Elephas maximus indicus: one gene and its partners. The protein of the gene in region 1 binds, or shares a complex with, the protein of each later gene. Links are inferred from orthologs where the notes say so. Each region holds a gene or a part of one and is shown in the gene's direction. Other genes may lie near its edges. The genes, in order: NOG, BMP7 and BMP2.

Region 1 (5,402 bases):
AGTACAATTGCCCCATAGGGTTTCCTAGGCTGTAATCTTTATGGAACATCATGGTAAACAGTGAAAATATTGAAGTTGCCATGGATTTCATTTTACTTGAATCCACAATCAACACCCGTGGATGCTGCAGTCAAGAAATCAAAAGACATACTACGTTGGGCAAATCTGCTGCAAAAGGCCTCTTTAAAGTTTTAAAAAGCAAAGATGTCACTTGAAGGACTAAGATGCACCTAACCCAAGCCATGGTATTTTGAAGCATCTCGTATGAACATGAAAGCTGGACAATGAATAAGGAAGACCGAAGAAGAACTGATGCCTTTGAATTGTGGTGTTGGTGAAGAATATTGAATATACCATGGACTGCCAGAAGAACAAAAAAAATCTGTCCTGGAGGAAGTACAGCCAGAATGCTCTTCAGACATGAGGTTGGAGAGACCTTGTCTCACATACTCTGGACATGTTATTAGGAGGGATCAGTCACTGGAGAAGGACATCATGCTTGGTAAAGGAAAGGATCAGCAAGAAAGAGGAAGACCCTCGATGGACTGACACAGTAGTTCCAACAATGGACTCAAGCATAGCAATGACTGTAGGCTGGCATATGACCTGGTAGTGTTTTCCTCTGTTGTACATAGGGTCTCTATGAGTCAGAACTGTCTCGATGGCACCTAACAAAAACAATAATCTTTATGGGAACAGATGGCCAAGTCTTTTCTCCTGCGGAGCTACCAGCGGGTTTGAAATGCCAGCCTCTCGGTTAGCAGCTGAGCACTTAACCGTTTGCACCGCCAGGGCTCCTTTCAGTCGAGACTACCCAGCCTAAATAAAGGACAGAGGTCTGGGTTGATTTTCAAACAAAAATAGGTGATTTGAAGAAGACGAAGATTGGTAGAATAGAAAACAGCACAGTTTATGCGCTGGGCTAAAATATAGTCTTTGAACTCTTCACTGAAAAATTATTTTTTTAATTTATAGCATCAATATCTTCATAAGAAATCAAAATAGTGCTAAGCATCCATTTAAAACAAACAAATTCATTGCTGTCAAGTGAATTCCAACTCATAGCGACCCTTTATGACAAAGCAGAACTGCCTCCTAGGGTTTCCAAGGAGAGGTGGATTCAAACTGCCACCTTTCGGTTAGCACCTGAAGCTCTTACCCACTGCACCACCAGGACTCCAAGCCTCCATAAAGTGCATGGAAAATAAAGGAGTGTCGTTCAAGCAACCTACTATGTGCCAGGATCCAGGCACATATTATTTCATAATCAGCCCAATTCAAACAACGAATGGGTCGTTCTTATCTACAGTATTCATCAAAGCAAGATTTTCTTTTTGGGTGGTAGGTACCTCGGTAGCCTAAATCTAGTTGTTGTCTAGACTTGAAAGTTTAAGGAAGTGTTCTTGCTGAGGGATTTCCAAGTACTGGGATTTTGCATATAGACTGTGCCATAACCCAAGTACATCTTCTTCATTGTTGTCAGCTGTCACTGAGTTGGCCTTGGGCTCAAGGGGACCCCATGCACAACGGAAGGAAACGTTGCCTGGTCACTTAGCCTTTAGTCTGGAGGCGCCACTGCAACCTGTTCAGCATCACAGCAGCCCACAAGCCGCCACTGACAGATGAGGTGCCTTGGCCAGGAATCGAACCCAGGTCTCACATGGAAGGGGAGAACCTCCCGCTGAACCACAGACACCACTTCCTTAGGAGATGGTAAAGTTCTGTGTGTATTTGAGGGGAGGGCAGAGCAGACTGAAAGGAAAAATCAGATCACTGGAGAAAGAAAGTGGAGTAATGTAGACTGTCACAAAGGGATCTCCTGAGTCTCACTCAGCCGAATAGTAGTGGATGCCTGAGTCATTCACTCCAAGTCTCTTCAAGGGCTTTTTCCAATTCTGATCCACAAAGGAGTTTGGATTTCAGAGAGAAACTCAACCAGAGGTGTCATTTCAGCACCCATCTTCCACCAAAGAGAACATTTCTGAAAAAGAAAGCCTCATATAGGTTTATTCAGAATCAGAGCAAGGTAGGGCTGGAAAAGGTAATGTAGCTATGTCACTAGTGCAGAAACTAAGATCTGTAGAAGAAAAGGCACCGGTCCAGGGTTAACATGGTTATGTCAGGCTGGACTCAAGCCCCCTACTGTCCGTTCATCTGTCAAGTTTCTGCTCCCCAGTCTTCACCACTGAGGCCGGTTTAGCGGAGAAAGTGGGCACCTATGCATGTGAAATTTGAAGGGCATGGAGAGGAATCTCAGGAAGTTTGTTTACACTGAGGGTTTGGAGAGAGTCCAGAGAACAGCCAGAACCTGAACGGACCCTTCGACACACGCAGACATTCAAAGACACGAGATGACACGGACACAGAAACAACGCGACCTGGGCAGAATGGGCCACGGACAAACCCACCACCTCACAGTGCCGCCCCTCCTATCACCGGGTGCAGGGCTTGCCATGGGCCAGCAGAGGGCGCGCCGCCCCCAGGGAGCCGAGAGGCTGCCGCACGGAGCCGAGCGGGCTAGGGGAGCAGCAGACAAGCCGGACGCGCCCCTACGGCTCCGCCACTCAGGGCGCAGGACCCGGCCAAGAAGGAGGAGGAGGGTGAGGAGCGGACCCCCCTCGTGGGCCCGGGGGGCAGACGAGCCGGAGTGCTTCCTAGGAATTACATCACACAGCGCAGCGCTGCGGCTCGCGGACTCTCGGGGCGCACAGTTTGTGCGGGGGGAGCGGGGGCAAGGGTGAGGGACAGAGGACCCACAGTGTGTGTGTGTGTGTGTGTGTGTGGTGTGTGTGTGTGTGTGTGTGTGTGTGTGTTGGGGGAAGGGACTGAGACCGAGCCCGGGAGAGAGGAAGACGAGACGCGCCCGGGGAAAACGCTCCATGCACATGGAGAAATCCCTTCCTCCAAACTGCACCGAGAAAGGAGCCCCCGGCACTTCCCCGCTGCTCCCCTCCCAGTGCAAAGCACCCAGCTAGTGAGCAACCCCCGCCCCACCTCAAGCACCCCCCAAAGCCGGCCCTGCACCCTCCAGCCGGGCTCCAGCGCCGCCGCGAGCTCTCCCCAGGACTGGCTCTGGCGGGGCGCCTAGAGCCCCAGTTGCATTGCTCCAGGAGAAAGGAGGGGGGCGGTGCATTTTGCAGGAGGAGAAGGAGGAGAAGGGGGGTGGGTGGTGGGGGTGAGAGAAAATTGCGCGGAGACCTGCCAAGCGCCACCGCCGCCGCCACCGCCGCCGCCGCCGCCGCCTGTGAGCTCGGGCGGGCAGCCGGACTGTCGGCTTCCCGGGGCATCTGGGTCCGGCGGGGCACAGCCCTGGGCGCTGCCGAAGCCGCCGCCGCCGCCGCCTCCGCGGCGAGTGCAGGCGGCTTCCCCGGGAGCCTGCGCTGCTCCAGCTCCTTGGGGGTGGAGAAGTGGGGGGTGGGGTTGTTGTTTGGGGGGAAGAAGGGGGAGGGGGCAACGCCGAGAGAGTCAGTGGTTTCCATGGTGATGGAGCTGAAAGTGCAGGAAATTTAAAGGCTTGGACCCTGCGAGACAGACAAACCGGTGCCAACGTGCGCGGACGCCGCCGCCGCCGTCGCCGCCGCCGCTGGAGTCCGCCGGGCAGAGCCGGCCGCGGAGCCCGGAGCAGGCGGAGGGGAGTGCCCCCGGGACCCGCTCGGCCAGCGGCGCTGCAGAGAGCGGCAGGACCAGGAGCAGGAGGAGGAGGAGGAGGGGAGACGGCTCGTCCACGCGCCTTGCGCCGCCGCCGGCCCGGGAAGGCAGCGAGGAGCCGGCGCCCCCCGCGCCCCGCGGTCTCCCTGGAGTAATTTCAGATGCCCCGCCGCGGCCGCCTTCCCGAATAGACCTGGGAGAGGAGTTGCAGCCAACTTGTGTGCCTTTTTTCTGCGCCGGTGGGAGCCGGCTCGGAGCGAAGGTCTCTCCCCGCGGCTCATGCTGCCGGCCCTGCGCCTGCCCAGCCTAGGGTGAGCCGCCTCGGGAGAGCCCGGGGAGCGCGGCGGCGGCGCCGCGGGCTCGGCGTGCTCTCCTCCGGGGACGCGGGACGAAGTAGCAGCCCCGGGCGCACGCCGGAGGCATGGAGCGCTGCCCCAGCCTGGGGGTCACCCTCTACGCCCTGGTGGTGGTCCTGGGGCTGCGGGCGGCACCGGCCGGCGGCCAGCACTACCTCCACATCCGCCCAGCTCCCAGCGACAACCTGCCCCTGGTGGACCTCATCGAACACCCGGACCCTATCTTTGACCCCAAGGAGAAGGATCTGAACGAGACGCTGCTGCGCTCGCTGCTCGGGGGCCACTACGACCCGGGCTTCATGGCCACCTCGCCCCCCGAGGACCGGCCCGGCGGGGGCGGGGGGGTGGCCGGTGGCGCCGAGGACCTGGCGGAGCTGGACCAGCTGCTGCGGCAGCGGCCGTCCGGGGCCATGCCGAGCGAGATCAAAGGGCTGGAGTTCTCCGAGGGCTTGGCCCCGGGCAAGAAGCAACGCCTAAGCAAGAAGCTGCGGAGGAAGCTACAGATGTGGCTGTGGTCGCAGACCTTCTGCCCCGTGCTGTACGCGTGGAACGACCTGGGCAGCCGCTTCTGGCCGCGCTACGTGAAGGTGGGCAGCTGCTTCAGCAAGCGCTCGTGCTCCGTGCCCGAGGGCATGGTGTGCAAGCCGTCCAAGTCTGTGCACCTCACGGTGCTGCGGTGGCGCTGTCAGCGGCGCGGGGGCCAGCGATGCGGCTGGATTCCCATCCAGTACCCCATCATTTCCGAGTGCAAGTGCTCGTGCTAGAACTCGGGGGCCCCCTGCCCGCACCCAGACACTTGATTGACCCCCACCGACGCCCCCAGCCACCGCCTCCAACCAGTTCCACCACCCTTGAGAGTGGATTCAATGAACTTTTTTTTTTTTTTTTTTTTGGCTACAGAGACCTAGCTTTCTGGTTCATGTAATGCACTGTTTAACTGTGTAGGAATGTATATGTGTGTGTATATACGGTCCCAGTTTTAATTTACTTATTAAAAGGTCAGTATTATACGTTAAAGTTACCGGCTTCTACTGTATTTTTTAAAAAATAAGCAAAAGAAAAAAAAAGAACAGATAAAAGAGAGACTTATTCTGGTTGTTGCTAATAATGTTAACCTGCTATTTATATTCCAGTGCCCTTCGCATGGCGAAGCAGGGGGGAAAAGTTATTTTTTTCTTAAAGTACAAAGAGAGAGGGGAACTTTTGTAGAAGGACTTTTTAAAAGCTATTTTCCATTCTTTGGAAAGTGTTCTGGTTTTCCTTGGACCTCGAAGAAGCTATAGAGTTCAATGTTATTTTACAGTTATTGTAAATATAGAGAACAAATGGAATGACTAATCATTGTAAATTAAGAGTATCTGCTATTTATTCTTTATAATATCCCGTGTAGTAAATGAG
Region 2 (6,986 bases), on another chromosome or scaffold:
TCTGAGTCAGCAGAGCAGTTGCAGCGACTCTGCAGCACTGGGAGCTTGGGTAGGACCCGGGGGATGGAGCCATGTTTTTGCTCCCTGCTCCACAGGCCCTGTGCACTGGCTGGTCCCTCTGCCTGGAATGCCTGTCCCTCACTCAGGTCAATGACATCTGGGTCATTTAGTTTTTTCCGCCATCAGTACTCCTCTGACTTCCTCGTGGGGCCTGTCTGCCTCTCCTCTCACTCCAAGCCTTAATGAAGGTTCCTGGTCTGTCCCCTCACCTGAAAGCCATCTTCTTGATGGGGACCACTTCCTGGCCCACTCACGGCTCTATGCCTGGGTCCAATGCTGTCCCTGACACCAGGATGGCCACATAATTTGAGGGGTTCATGCAAAATGAAAATGAGGGACCCCTTGTTCATAGATGATCAGGAATGTCACGCAACAGCATTAAACTAATTGTATGGTTCACAGGTGGCCACCCTGTGGAGCCGCCCCCACCTGACACTCAGGAAGCACCCAACACACACTGAAGGAGTGAGTGGATACTGGCCAGTGGGCAGAGGCCCAGCCCGGGGAGGGGCCCAGGACCTGGCCTCTGTGGTAGTGGCCGTCTGGCCGGCTGGTGTCCACATGAATGACTAGGACCTTTGGTGAATAATAGCCGATCTAAGGCAAATTTCCAAGATGTGGAGATAACTCATATCTCCACCTCCCACTTCATTCTTTGGCCACCAGCCACCCACATGGCACTTTCAGACTGTAACCACCCAGAAGGGGGTCTCCACAAGTTAGAACTCTGTCCATCCAGCCCTTGCCAAATAGGCAAACGCCAGCCTCTCTGCTGGCTCTCACTGTCCGCAGTGGGTTTGATAATTCCCTAGAATGACTCGAAGAAACTATTACCTGTACTTACAGTTACCCCTTTATCATAGTGAGAAAGGCTACAAAGCGTTGCGATGTATCAGGCAAGGTCTGGGCGAGGCGTGGGCTGGAGGCTCTATTGTCCCCATGGACGTGCTGTGCCCTCTCCCCTGCGGGGATGCTCTTACCAATCCCAAAAGCCCCAAAGAGAGCACTGGAAGGACCAGAGTCCCCTAGTCATTGGGATCTCAGTGAATATGCATGACTGGAGCCTTGATGTGTTGTAGGTCCCGTCAAGTTGGTTCTGACTCACAGTGACCCCATGTACCACAGAGCGAAATGCTGCCTGGTCCTGCACTGTCCTCATAATCGTTCTGTTTGAGCCCACCGTTGTAGCCACTGTGTCAACCCATCTCCTGGAGGGTCTTCCTTCTTTTCACTGACTTTACCAAGCACCATGTCCGTCTCCAGGGACTGGTCCCTCCTGATAACATGTTCAAAGTATGTGAGATGAAGTCTTGCCATCTTCACTTCTGAGAGCACTTTGGCTATACTTCTTCCAAGACAGACTTGTTTGTTCTTTTCGCAGTCCATGGTATATTCAATATTCTTTGCCAACATCATAATTCAAAGGCTTCCGTTCTTCTTCCGTCTTCCTTATTCATTGTTCAGCTTTTGCATGCGTATGAGGCGATTGAAAATATCATGGCTTGGGTCAGACGCACCTTAGTCCTCAAAGTGACATCTGTGCTTTTTTAACACTTTGAAGAGGCCGTTTGCAGCAGATTTGCCCAATGCAATATGTCATTTGATTTCTTGACTGCTGCTTCCGTGGGCGTTGACTGTGGATCCAAGTAAAATGAAACACCAAGCATGAGGTCCTCTTCCTGGTGGTGGTCCCTCCTGATAACACGTCCGAAGTAAGTGAGACCAATCAGACCCTGCCATTCTAGTTTCTAAGGAGTCTTAATGCAGAGTTAGGGTAGAGCCAATCCATGAATACACTTGCAGTCAAGGGGTGACCTGTGTAGCCCCCTATTTATATATACTTATTTAAGTTTGGCCTGGCTGTTTCAGAAGGACAAAGGGCACCTTTGTTACTCAGGTTATTTTAAAAAACCAGAGGCAAAAAGCCAAATGAAGTTCTTTGTCCCACAGATCTGCAGGCTTGCATATCTCTTCTCCTGGCTGGGCCTCTCCTCTCTCCACCCATGTGACCCCTTAGGCTGCCATCTTGTCCAAAAGCCCCCAGAGACCCAGAGGGCTGCATGGCAGATCTGCTCTGCTCAGGAGAACTGGAGAAAACCTGGCTCCTGGGAGTGTCTCTCACCAGCCCTCCTGCCTCAGGAAGGACCAGCCTGGTGGCTTTCTCCAGCCCTTCAGGGGGGTCAGCTAGGCCCCTAGCAGAAGCCTCCTTCCCCAAACTCAGCCTAAACTTTGTCTGGGTTCCCTGGTGACCCTCCACCTACCCTTGTATGGGAATCAGTGGTTTGTTTGTTGGCCTCCTTGGGACAGCCCTTGGGGGGGGGCATGGTCCTCACTGCCACTGGGACAGCCCCTGGCGGGGGGCATGGTCCTTACTGCCACTCTGAGTAAGGGGTTATTTTGCACCCATTTTAAAGATAAGGAAACCGAGGCTCCAAAGTGTAGTGATCACTGAAGTTCCCTCAGCTGGCAGAGGGGACCCGTAGGCTGTAGTGGTCTGGGGGCAGCGGTCAGCCGGGCACACCATGGGCAGCTTAGTAATATTTGTGGAAGGAAGAGTGAGAGGCAGGAGAAGGACAGAGGCAGAGTAGCGGGCGGGTGAGGTAAACTGCAACAGTAATTCCAGACAGCCAGAGAGCTCAAGAAAATAAAACGAGTGCGTGGGGGTGAGGAGGGAGGCAGCCTTAGCTTTGCTGGCTTGGGAAGGTCTCTGGGAGGCAGTGGCCGCTGAATAGGGACCTGGTGGTGGAGAGTCTTCTACCTGGGGAGAGACTGAGGGCATTGGTGTTGGGGAAGAGTTTCTAAAAACAAAACCTGCTCTCAACTTAGAAAGCCTCTGCACAACAATGGAAGAGACAGAAGAGTTTTATTCTTGAATAAGCACTGAACCCAAATGGGATGCATCACAGGCAATCAGTCCAGGAGAGAAATTGCCAAGACAAAGGAATCCGAGGCTTTAGAGAACTGAGTGGATACAGCCCATTACATTCACGTTAAAGATAAAATTGCTAATTTTCCAGTGTCTTCGTGGCAGGACACCTAAAGTTATGTTAATCTCCTTCCAGGAAACTGGGAGGGAGGGGTGTGAACTTCCTTGATGATTACATTTCAAAAGATGTCTCCCAGGTCCTTGAGAAACATTTTTTTTTTTTAATTTTTAATTGTGCTTTAAGTGAAAGTTTACAAATCAAGTCAGTCTCTCATACAAAAATTTATATACACCTTGCTATGTACTCCTAATTGCTCTCCCCCTAGAGAAACTTATTTGATTTACATACTTTTCGGAAAGACAAAGATCCAACCATTACGAGTTATCTAAAGTGAATTCTGCAAGAACAGGGGAGCCTGGTCCCCTGTCTTCTGCAGAGAATGAAAACCTCCTATTTTCAGTTTGTATTTATTTGTCCTTACAGAGGGCGGGGGCGAGGGTCAGGGGGAGTTTCAGGTGGCCAAAGTTAAGCTGTGGACAAGTCTGGGGGGGTGCGGCGGGTCCGCGTGGTTGGAGTGAGGAAAGCCAGCGAGTGTGTCGGAGGGGGGCAAACGGACGAGTCGGGCTCAGGGGCACCTCCTCTGAGAAGTCCTCTCCGATTCCCGCGCTTCCTCCACGCCCCTCCCGCCGCTCAGCTTCTGCCCCCGCTGCCCAGATCCTTGGGTCCGGCTGAGGTCTCCTTCCCTGTTCGGACTACGAGCCCCGAGAGGGCAGGGCCGGGTGGGCGTCTTTCCTCCCCAGGCCGGCGGCGTCTGGCCTGGCGCTGGGCACCCTGTGGGCACTTGGTCAATATTTGTCGAGCGCGCTGGAAGGGTTGAATGAATCCATTGGGCGCAGCAGGGGGGAGGGCGGGGCCGAGGCAGGTGGGAGGCCGCCGGCGCGGGAGGGGCCCCTGGAAGCCCGCCCTCCTCCTCCTCCTCCTCCTCCCAGGCCCCAGCGCGTTCGCTCTGGGGCTCCCGAGGCGTCTTCTCGTGCGATCAGGGGCGCGCAGGGCGGGGAGAGAGATCCTGGGGCCCTGCTCTCGGCGCCGGAGGTCGAAAGCGGGTGGGTCGCTGTCGCCGGATTGGAGAGCGCTCTCGAAAGGAGTGGGAGGAAGGAGCGCCCGCCCGCCGCCTCCCCAGCGCTCGCTCTCCAGGCTCGGAGGTTTGCGGCTGCTCCTCCCACCCGCGCCAGGCTCCTCGCTCGCTGGAGCGGGTCTCCAAGCCCCGCCGTGCGCCCAAGCGAGTGCAGGGCTAGGGGCCCCGGAGCCAGCCCGAGTCGGGGTGGGGGTCCGGGCAGCGCACAGCCGGCCGGGGAGGGGCCATGTCCGGCGCGGGTGCAGCGGGGCCCATCTGCAGCAAGTGACTGAGCGTCGTGGACGCCGCTGCCCCCCTCCGCCACCTGGGGCGGCGCGGGCCCAGGTGCCCGGAGCCCAGTGCCCTGGCCGCGCGGAGAGCCGGCGCGATGCACGTGCGCTCGCTGCGCGCCGCGGCGCCCTCCAGCTTCGTGGCGCTCTGGGTGCCCCTGCTCCTGCTGCGCGCCGCCCTGGCCGACTTCAGCCTGGACAACGAGGTGCACTCGAGCTTCATCCACCGGCGCCTCCGCAGCCAGGAGCGGCGGGAGATGCAGCGCGAGATCCTCTCCATCTTGGGCTTGCCCCACCGCCCGCGCCCCCACCTCCAGGGCAAGCACAACTCGGCGCCCATGTTCATGTTGGACCTGTACAATGCCATGGCGGTGGAGGAGGGCGGCGGGTCCGACAGCCAGGGTTTCTCCTACCCCTACAAGGCAGTCTTCAGCACCCAGGGCCCCCCTCTGGCCAGCCTGCAAGATAGCCACTTCCTTACTGACGCCGACATGGTCATGAGCTTCGTCAACCTCGGTGAGTGCGGGCAGGAGGAAGGGGGAGCACGCCTCGGCTGGGGGGCGCCTTGCAACAGGGAGGGGGGTGACTTTTTACATCTAGCCTCCCACCTTTCCGCTCGGCGGGTTTCACAGCGGTCAGTGCCTGGCTGAGAGTCTTCTACCTCCGGCCCTAGTGGAGCCCAAACTGTGCTCGCCCCCAGGTAGTGTGAGGCAGGCTCAGCTGGCCTGTGGATGTTATTGAAAGTGTAGAGACCCGCCCGAAGCCCCCTTCTGGTTACGCCGCCGGACGCACCTCTGGGGCAGCAGGCGCCGGCCCTGGTCGCGGCTGAGTTCAAAGCGCGGGGCTCGGTCATGTGAGCTGTCCCTGGCCGGCTCGGCGCTCGCTACCTGGATTTAAAGGGCCCTTCTTGGAGAAGCTGCCTTCCCGCCCGCCCTCGGCCCCGCGCACCCTGCCTGGCCCTGGCCTCCGGTGCAGCGCGACCCGTTCCCCGCTCTGGCAAGCCCTACCTGTCCCTTCGCGGTGCGCCCGCCTTCCCGTGCCGCGCGCCTGGGGAGCCTGGGGGCCTCTCCCCGCCGCCGGCGCCCCCCTCTCTTGGTCTTCCTGCCGGAGCCAGGGAAGAAACGTTGCCATTGCGAACTTTCTATTTTAAATATTTAATGATAGGTCCCGGGCAGGCAGAATCCATTTTCAGCGTTTATCACGTGTGGCGCTCAAACCACCGGTTTTGGCGATTGGGCGGCGCGGGATCTCGGAACAGACGCCGCTGGGGGCGGCGGGGGGACAGGGCTCCCGATGAAGCCTCTCCTGTCCGGGGAACGAGGTGGGGCTGCGGCGGTGCCCCGCGGCGCCCTCCATGGCATCCCCGCATGATTACCAAACTCGCTCAGACTAATCCCGGGCCGCGCGCTGTAGGACCGATGATCAAATATTTGGTTTCCGAGATAACACAGCCCGATAGCGCTGTTTCCTGAGCCGCTTTCATTCTACCTGTGTAACTTGCAGGGAAAATCCGAGCAGAGTCAAGACAGCAAACTTCCGCCCACCGGCGCAGTGTCAACTTGGAAATAATGACCCTAAATCCCCACGCCGGCCACCTGGGGAGTGGACGGGGGCGGGGAAGTGGGGATCCGCGTGAGGGCTTCCCGCCTCTGATAAGGTCGGCGGAGTCCAGGGGACGCCATTGTCCACCCTAAATGATAGCCCAACTCACATAGCGAAATGCGCTTCAGCGAGCAAGGAGTGGGAGGTTTAGATGGCAAAATAACATTTAAAAAGTTGAAGTTATACGAGGCAGCCTGTTGAGAACGAGGCAGCTCCTTATGCCCTGATTGGAACAATCTCTAAGATGTACGGGGTGGAAACAAGCCAGGTCCAGATCAGTGAGCCTACATACATGTTTGTATATCGTCCATGTTCTAGCAGAAGACTCCGTGAACTGGAAATAAATTTTACGGGGGGGGGGGGGGAGGGGAGGGGCAGAACTGGGACTGGGACATAAGGGGGGGAGTCGGGTTTTTCAATGTCCTCACTTTTGCCTGTGACTTTTTTCTTGCCGTGTGTGTTTATTGTCTGTACCAAAAACTAAAAAACAATTCTAAAAATAAGAATAAACGGAAGTGGCACTCTATAGCAGTACTGATTCCCGGGTTAACCAGGGCCTTCTCTCTGGCTGGGATTTATGGCATCTGCTGTTGGGTTGGGTATCCGGGACTCCCAATGCTGCAGGTCCCAGCTGCCGCCTTCAGAGATCAGCCGGGGTCATTACAAAGGCATTTGGGAGCCCTGGCTTCTGTAGAGGGCTCTGCAAACCCATGCAAAAAGCTCTAATGCTTAGTGACTGGCAACTCGGCCAGATCCTGGGGCCCCCCCACCCCAGGGGAGGAGCGGTTTGCTCACTGGATGCCTTTGGGAACTGGGGGCAGGGCTGTTTGCTCCCGTGGGTGGTGGGAGCAAGCCAGGACTCGCCTGGGAAGGCCACAGCTGGGTGGTTTTCCTTCTGGCTGTGCACACACCTTTCAACCCCGCTAGTCCCATTTCTTTCATCTTGAAAGGACAAAGACCGGCTTGTCTGAGCCTCTCAATCAGCTGGGCTGG
Region 3 (7,121 bases), on another chromosome or scaffold:
CTGGAGGACATTATGCTTGTTAAAGTAGAGGGTCAGTGAAAAAGAGGAAGACCACAAGGAGATGGGTTGACACAGTGGATGAAGCAATAGGATCAAATATAGCAACGATTGTGAGGATGGTGCAGGACCGGGCAGTGTTTCATTCTGTTGTACATTGCTATGAGTCAGAATCGACTGCTTGGCACCTAACAACAACTACAGTAATAAATCACTTCTACCCCAGTCCCAACCTCTACAACCTCTATCTGCTACAGATACACAGAATCTGATAAACCTAGATAGAATGAATCTTACCTTCTTAGCTGAAGTGATATTTTCAAAGCAAACAGTCACCACAAAATGACAGTATTCTGAGTTGCAGGTGGAGGGTGGCTACTAAATAAACAGAATAAAACAGGTAGATATCTCCAACTAGATTCGTCGTTTTTAAGTATTGTTGTGTCCTCGAATAGGAAAACTGGTAGGTATGGTCATCCTGTACATTGCACTGCAAGTCAGTCTTTGGAGACCATTCATTCATTCATTCATTCATTGATTTCTTTCACCCAAGCGCTCTGACTCATTTCCACCACAAGAGGGCAGCCATCTCTAAAAAACAAATAGAGCCTTACTCTTAGGAGAAATTTAGGGAGCTGTGCTAGGACAAAGGCATTCAGCAGCCTGCCTCGTAAAAAGAGATCCTGCGATGGGCAATACTAAAATGGAATAGAGTATTCAGAAGTGCCAATTTTACCTCAGATTCTTGACTATGGAGGATTATTCTGTAAACAAAGTTTCCATTTCTGATGCTATAAAGGCCTAAAGCTGCAAGACATCCCGATGTCATCGCCAGAGATTTATTTTTCTTTTTCTCTTGGGGTGCTTCCAACAGCTATCAGCTTTCCTTTACTCTTTAAAAACTATGTACTGATCTAAGTCTCATATACGTTTTGTTTTTTAAATCTCACTGATGACAGGAACAATTGTTAACTTCTCAGTTAAGCTTGATAAAAAAAATAGGGAAGGAAATAGTTTTAGAAGTACAATAAACACTTTTTGACTTAAGCGTCCCTGAGTACAATATAATTTATTGCCTACTTGTTTAACCTCCAAATGATTCAGGCGGACAGTCAACTTCTTTAGTTCTTTATTTTCAAGTAGCTTGTTCCTGAATATTTTGCACCCCTTTTCTTTTTCTTTTTTTTTTTTTCCTAGTAAACCGACTTCCTCCAAAATACCTTACTTGACCTTTATACCTTCAGAAACAACGAGTGCCTAATTCCCCCTCTGTGGGTTGCTAATCCGATTTATGTGAGCGGAACCTAGAATTATTTTAGTTTCCTAACCAAAAAAAAAAAAAAAACACGCATGGATAACAGATTACTCTTAGATCCCGCACCTGACTTCTCTCTGGTCTTTCTGCTGGAAGGCAGGAAGACTACCTTGTAAATGAACCTGATTTTGGAGATCAGGCCTTTTTTCAGAATTTTCTGGCCCTTGGCTTCAAGGGTCATTTGGGGAATCCGTGGTGCTACCCGTGTGTGCTGGAATCCTGGCAGGAACCTAAAGCCTCGGCCCTAGACTCAAGTAGCAGCTGCTTTTGGGCGATATTTGAGCTGAAGAGGACAAGTGACTGTTGGGGACGAGGAGGAAGGGATGTTGGGGCAGAAGGTTCTAAGATCTCAAATCGGAATTGTCTTGTATGCCTAGTTCACGCTGTGCATCATTCTACTGTCCTCTGAGCTTCTAATTGCTGGCCCCTGAGCTGGGCGAGATAAATATCGCAGCACGAAGTGATTGCTACCATAAAAAAGAAATAAAATCCTTCTCATCCGCTCTTCAAGCCGCCATACACACAGCCCAAGTTGCACTTGTCATATATAGCAGGGTGACACCCATTTCACATACATAGACTAATTTATAGAAACGCCGCTTTTGCGTATGTTTACATATTAGAATATATATAAGCATATGGGCATGTATCTATATTTTGCATACCTATACGAATATAAAGAGGTGTACATTTATATAAATATAAATGTTTATATAAAATAAAACGTGTACGCACACATTTACATATGTAAATACATATATTTCCGTGCGTGTTAAGGTTTAAATAACAGTTTCCAGCCTCTCCCCTCCCCCACAAACACACACAGACACACACACACACACACACACACACGCTCGCTCACTCCCAGGCAACACTGAAGTGTCTATGCCATGCCTATGCCAAGATGCCCTGTAACTTGGCTGAGTTTTGGTTGTTGCTGTTGTTTTTTTAATCGCCTATTACCGAAAAACTTCAAATTTAAAGTTGAATAACGGGCCCCGTGGGAGAGAACCAGGGGCTCGAGCATTTCGCCCTCGGAGTCTCCGCGAGGGCCCAGCGTTCCCGTTCCTTTCCCCTCTGAGGGCGGGGAGTGGAGGCGCACGCGCCCCCCTCGGCGGCCGCGCTGCCTCCGCCCTCGGCCCCACCCCGCCGCGGCTGCCCCGGCGCGCCGTCCACACCCCTGTGCGCTGCTCCCGCCCGCTCGGGGATCCCCAGCCAGCGCAGCCGAGGGGGGAGGTGTTCGGCCGCGGCCCGGAGGGAGCCGGCAGGCGGCGTCCTTTAAAAGCCGCGAGCGCCGCGCCACGGCGCCGCCGCCGCCGCCGCCGCCGCCGGAGTCCTCGCCCAGCCGCGCCGCGCTGCGCCCGGCTCGCGCTGCGCCCGCCGCTCGGCTTCCCACACCCCGCCGGGGATTGGCCGCCACCGCCGGACATCAGCCGCCGCAGCCGATCCGAACGCCTTCGGGGACGTGCGCCGCGAGGATCACTGGGTGCTCGGAGGCATCCCCGCGCCGCAGAGCCCGCGCGGGCTGGAGCGCCCGGCCGTGCGCGCTACAGTGCCGTGGCCTCGGCTGTCCGGGCCGCACCGGAGCCGCGGACGGGCGCGCAGAAGGCTGGGGAGCCAGGAGCGGAGCTCGAGCGCCGCGATGCCGAGCACTGCCCGCCGGGGTTCGGGGGCCCGGGACTCGCCGGCCGAGGTGTGATCAGACCCCAGGCTGGCCACAAAGCGCAAGGCAGCTTGGCCCGGGGGGCTAGGAGAGCGAGAAAAGAGCGCAGCCACCCGCCTCGGCAGCCCGGGACTCTGCTCGATTCGCCGGAGAATGCGCCCGAGGACGACGGGGCGCCGGAGCCGTGGTGTTTTCAGCGGGCGAGCGTGAATGGGGGTGCGCTGGAGTAAGGCAGAGTGATGCGGGGGGGCAACTCGCCTGGCACCGAGATCGCCGCTGCCGCTGCGCCCCTCCCCGGACCCGGCGTCGACCAGGATGGCTGCCCCGAGTCATGGGCCGCGGCGGAGCTAGCGAGGAGCGCCCGACACTCCTCCCCCGCGTCCCGGAGTCGGCCCCGCGCGGGGCCACGCGTCCTGCGGGCGCTGATTCCTAAGGACGACAACAGCACCAGCTTTTCACTTCTCCCTTCCCTTCCTTGCCCCGCACTCCTCCCCCTGCTCGCTGTTGTTGTGTGTCAGCACTTGGCTGGAGACTTCTTGAACTTGCAGGCAGAATAATTTGCGCTCCCCACTTCGCCGGTGCCTCTGCCCCAGCGGGGACGGCCTTGTCGCCTCCGAGCCCCGCCGCCGCTCCACTCTTCTGCCGGGCCGGACCTCTAGACGCCGTTCCCAGCGCGGGGAGGGAGACTGACCGGCCGGCGCCCGGGAGGAGGAGGCAAAGGAAGGGAGCGGACACCCGACCCCCGCGCCAGGTTCTTTGGCCAGAGTTTTTTCCATGTGGAGGCTCTTTCAATGGACGTGCCCCCGCGTGCTTCTTAGACGGTCTGCGGTCTCCTAAAGGTAGAGGACGCGGTCCCGGGCGGAGGACGGGGGGTGGGCGCGGGGCTGGGCGCGGGGCCGCCGCGGCTGAGCGCCTCCCCAGGCCGGACTAGACCGGACATAAACAGACCCCCTTCAGGTCCACGTGCAGCCGAACCCCTGCCGGGGGTGCTCCAATCCAACCGCTTCTGGCGACCATCCAGCGTTGCCTGCGTGACCCGCTCTCTTCCGCCCCTCGTTTCTCCTTTCTGTTCGGTGTATAATTAGGGCTGTTAACGCTAAGATGATTAAAAAAAAAAAAGAAAGAAAAGAAATCCCTTAGACTGGCCCCTGGGTTTCACCCGTTAGCTGCCAACCTGTACGCCCTGCCATGATGATTCCTTCTCCCTTCTCCAAGTTTTTCCGAGAGATCTCTCTACTGGGAGCCACGTCCCATTTAGGAAAGCAGTGGAAGCTGGGGGTTCTCCCTGTTTCTTTCCGGAAAGCGAGGGGGGCAGTACTTCGGTGCCTCCTTGTACTGCATTTTCAACATCTGACACGTGAAGTAATAGATATTAGCCCTTTACGTAATCCCAGGGAGATGGCCTGTGTGTCTTGACTGCACTAAGGGTGTGCGGGGCTTGAGGTCGTTTGTCCTGACACCCTGAGGCTAGGGGCGTGGGCCATAAGTTTCAAGCGGCGTTCGAAAGTCTTGGCCTTGAATGTACAGGGTCTAGAAGTTATAGACTGTGTATCAGGAAGTTGTATACAGTGCCTCTAAGGAAGTCACATGCAGCATTTGTTCGTGTTTATAAGCAAGCGAGCGCTGGGCTGTGTTTGGGATCGTTTAGTAGGTACAGGGTGGCAGACCAAGGGGTGGTTTCCTCAGGTTCCCTGTGCCGGCTGTCAATGCGGGTGTCGCCATAAAGAGGGGAGCAAAATCTCAAATCAGATGACAGCTGGATTGAGAGTGGAATGGGAGGAGTAAGGCATCTGGCTCAGGAACTAGGGACGCTCCATTCCCTCAAACGTCCGCGCTTCAGCCCCTCTGACAAAGCCCGGCGAGTGTTGCAAGCCAGGTGGGCACCCTGGAGAAAGAGGCAGCCGGGTCGAGCGGGGAGCCAGGGCAGCGGGAGTGAGGGAGAGGGTTGGGCGGGGAACTCGGTGACTCACGTCGGTCCTGTCCGCAGGTCGACCATGGTGGCCGGGACCCGCTGTCTTCTAGCGTTGCTGCTTCCCCAGGTCCTCCTGGGCGGCGCGGCCGGCCTCATTCCTGAGCTGGCCCGCAGGAAGTTCGCGGCGGCGTGGGGCCGTTCCTCATCCCAGCCCTCGGACGACGTCCTGAGCGAGTTCGAGTTGCGGCTGCTCAGTATGTTCGGCCTGAAGCAGAGACCCACCCCCAGCAGGGACGCCGTGGTGCCCCCCTACATGCTGGACTTGTACCGCCGGCACTCAGGCCAGCCGGGCGCGCGCACCCCGGACCAGCGGCTGGAAAAGGCAGCCAGCCGCGCCAACACGGTGCGCAGCTTCCACCACGAAGGTGAGGCTTGGAACAGGGGGTGAGAGCGGGGACCGGGGCGGGAGTCACCCTGCAAAGCCCCTCACTGCAGGGCAGACTGCAGACATTCCTGGAGGGACAGCTTGGCCAGGGCGCAGCAGACGTTTCCACTCTTGCCTCTGTTAACTTTGTAACTTTTCAGATCCAAGTTTTAACGCACTGCTAATGCACTGTGTGTGGAGGGGAGCCAGGGATTCCCCTTTGGTAAATCCGCACCCTTTTCCTGGATTGCAGCCAGAAGGGCGACTCCTCCCCCAGGAACTGGAGGGAAATCAAGTGATGGGGAAGATGAGGGCAAAAGGCTTGCCCCTAGCCAGCTAAACATGCAAGAATTCCATAGGGGAAAAGAGGGAGACTGATTGGGATTTAAATTTGTTTTGAAACCCGGCTCTATCAGTCTGCTTCTCCTGTTTAAGCCAGGGTTTCAGGCTAGACAGAGCCAAAGGAAGAATTTTCAGAGATGGTATTAAAAATCAAAGCCCAGGGCCCCAGAGTCTTTCTAATTTACAGTTTTTGTGCGCCTAGTTTGGAAGATTTTGAATTTCTATCTAATCCCCGTGGGAGATCCATTCCACAATCAATCTTATTGTTTCCACAATGACTTTCTTGTCTTTTGCTTCAGTTGGAGGTAGGCTCAGGGTAGAGAAAGGCAAGCCTTTCAGATAAAAGCTTTTGCAGCAGCTGCCTGTTCTCCTTCGTGTGTATTGAAATGTGGCCTTTTTTTTCCCCTTTTATTATGAATGTGGTTTGTTAAGGTAGGTATTTCTGCACCTTTCCTCAGAAAGGCATTTAGAGGATCTGAAATGTCTTAGAGCAGTTATTGAGAGTTGTCGTACTTAAGTTCTTAGGGCAATTAGTCAAAAATTCTTTTTCCATACTTTTAAATGCCTCTCTGGTTTGATAAATTCTAAATAGAGCACGGATTCCTTCAAATTTTAGAAAAGGGTACGGAGTTGTATATCCCAGAGCAACCACTTGTAGGATATTGGGGGAGCTGGGAATAAAGTTCCCCTTTTCTTACCTTGTCCTACCGAGGAGGTATATTTCAAGTGGAAATCTACACTCAGATACAAACAAATCAGAAATGTCACAGGCAGACATTTTCTCCCCTCGTGAGTTATGACTTATACTCCGGACAGTGGTAAAAAGCCCCAAAGGCAGGTCAGAGAACAAAGTTCCTTCTTCGTAGAGGCATCTGTACATTAAAAAGGCACAGTTGTCATTGAGTCAGTGTCAGCTCACGGTGACCTCTTGTGTGTCACCGTAGAACTGTGCTCCGTGGAGTTTTTAATGGCTGAATTTTTCAGAAGTAGGTCAGCAGAACTCTCTTCCGAGTTGTTGCTGGGTGGACTTGAACCTCCAACCTTGCGGTCAGCAGTAGAGCACAATGTGTGCACCACCCAGGGACTCCCCTCTAGGAAGCAGCTGTGTTGATGATCAGTTCATTTCCAAACACATTTTGAAGTGACGCGCTTTCTGCTAGCAGAAATCAGAGATTTGCAAAGCAATGAGATCTCATCATTTCACCAACTGAGAGCAGAAGTCTGGCACGTGCAGAAATGTTGTCATTTGTGTATGTTCTGTCACCCTTGCCCTAGGATTGTTATAGATCCAGTCATCTTTCCTAGCTGATGCTGATCAGAAGAGTTTTTTCTGGAGAGGAAAGTAACAAGAATAGCTGTTGAGCTGCTTCCTGGAAATTTAACATGGAAATCTTAAACCGAAATTTCTTATCGTTATCTTTAAGACCAGAAAGGTTCTGTGTGCCTCTTATAATGGAAAAGGAAAATC

Evidence for each region.
Region 2: the proteins of NOG (region 1) and BMP7 are in contact, whole or in part, in a crystal structure (PDB 1M4U), measured with the Homo sapiens proteins. The link is inferred for Elephas maximus indicus from reciprocal best matches to the Homo sapiens genes NOG and BMP7. Residues at the interface, in NP_005441.1 of Homo sapiens: His29, Tyr30, Leu31, His32, Ile33, Arg34, Pro35, Ala36; in NP_001710.1 of Homo sapiens: Phe365, Pro366, Leu367, Asn368, Ser369, Asn375, Ile378, Val379.
Region 3: the proteins of NOG (region 1) and BMP2 are in contact, whole or in part, in a crystal structure (PDB 7AG0), measured with the Homo sapiens proteins. The link is inferred for Elephas maximus indicus from reciprocal best matches to the Homo sapiens genes NOG and BMP2. Residues at the interface, in NP_005441.1 of Homo sapiens: Ile33, Arg34, Pro35, Ala36, Pro37, Ser38, Asp39, Asn40, Pro42, Leu43, Val44, Asp45, Leu46, Ile47, His49, His199, Arg204, Arg206, Pro219, Ile220, Gln221, Tyr222, Pro223; in NP_001191.1 of Homo sapiens: Trp310, Asp312, Trp313, Val315, Ala316, Pro317, Pro318, Gly319, Tyr320, Ala368, Ile369, Ser370, Met371, Leu372, Tyr373, Lys379, Val380, Val381, Leu382, Lys383, Asn384, Tyr385, Gln386, Met388.

The regions. Positions count from the first base shown.
Region 1 is NC_064837.1:37,473,462-37,478,863, reverse strand, and holds NOG (noggin), read left to right. Parts: upstream 1-3,942; 5' UTR 3,943-4,069; coding exon 4,070-4,768; 3' UTR 4,769-4,844; downstream 4,845-5,402. UniProt on the Homo sapiens protein: Inhibitor of bone morphogenetic proteins (BMP) signaling which is required for growth and patterning of the neural tube and somite. Essential for cartilage morphogenesis and joint formation.
Region 2 is NC_064843.1:11,987,545-11,994,530, forward strand, and holds the start of BMP7 (bone morphogenetic protein 7), read left to right. Parts: upstream 1-3,980; 5' UTR 3,981-4,489; coding exon 4,490-4,907; intron 4,908-6,986. UniProt on the Homo sapiens protein: Growth factor of the TGF-beta superfamily that plays important role in various biological processes, including embryogenesis, hematopoiesis, neurogenesis and skeletal morphogenesis.
Region 3 is NC_064843.1:45,258,355-45,265,475, forward strand, and holds the start of BMP2 (bone morphogenetic protein 2), read left to right. Parts: upstream 1-4,075; 5' UTR 4,076-4,747; coding exon 4,748-4,851; intron 4,852-4,962; coding exon 4,963-5,312; intron 5,313-7,121. Other genes in the region: serine/arginine repetitive matrix protein 3-like, read left to right, coding at 2,297-3,205. UniProt on the Homo sapiens protein: Growth factor of the TGF-beta superfamily that plays essential roles in many developmental processes, including cardiogenesis, neurogenesis, and osteogenesis. Induces cartilage and bone formation.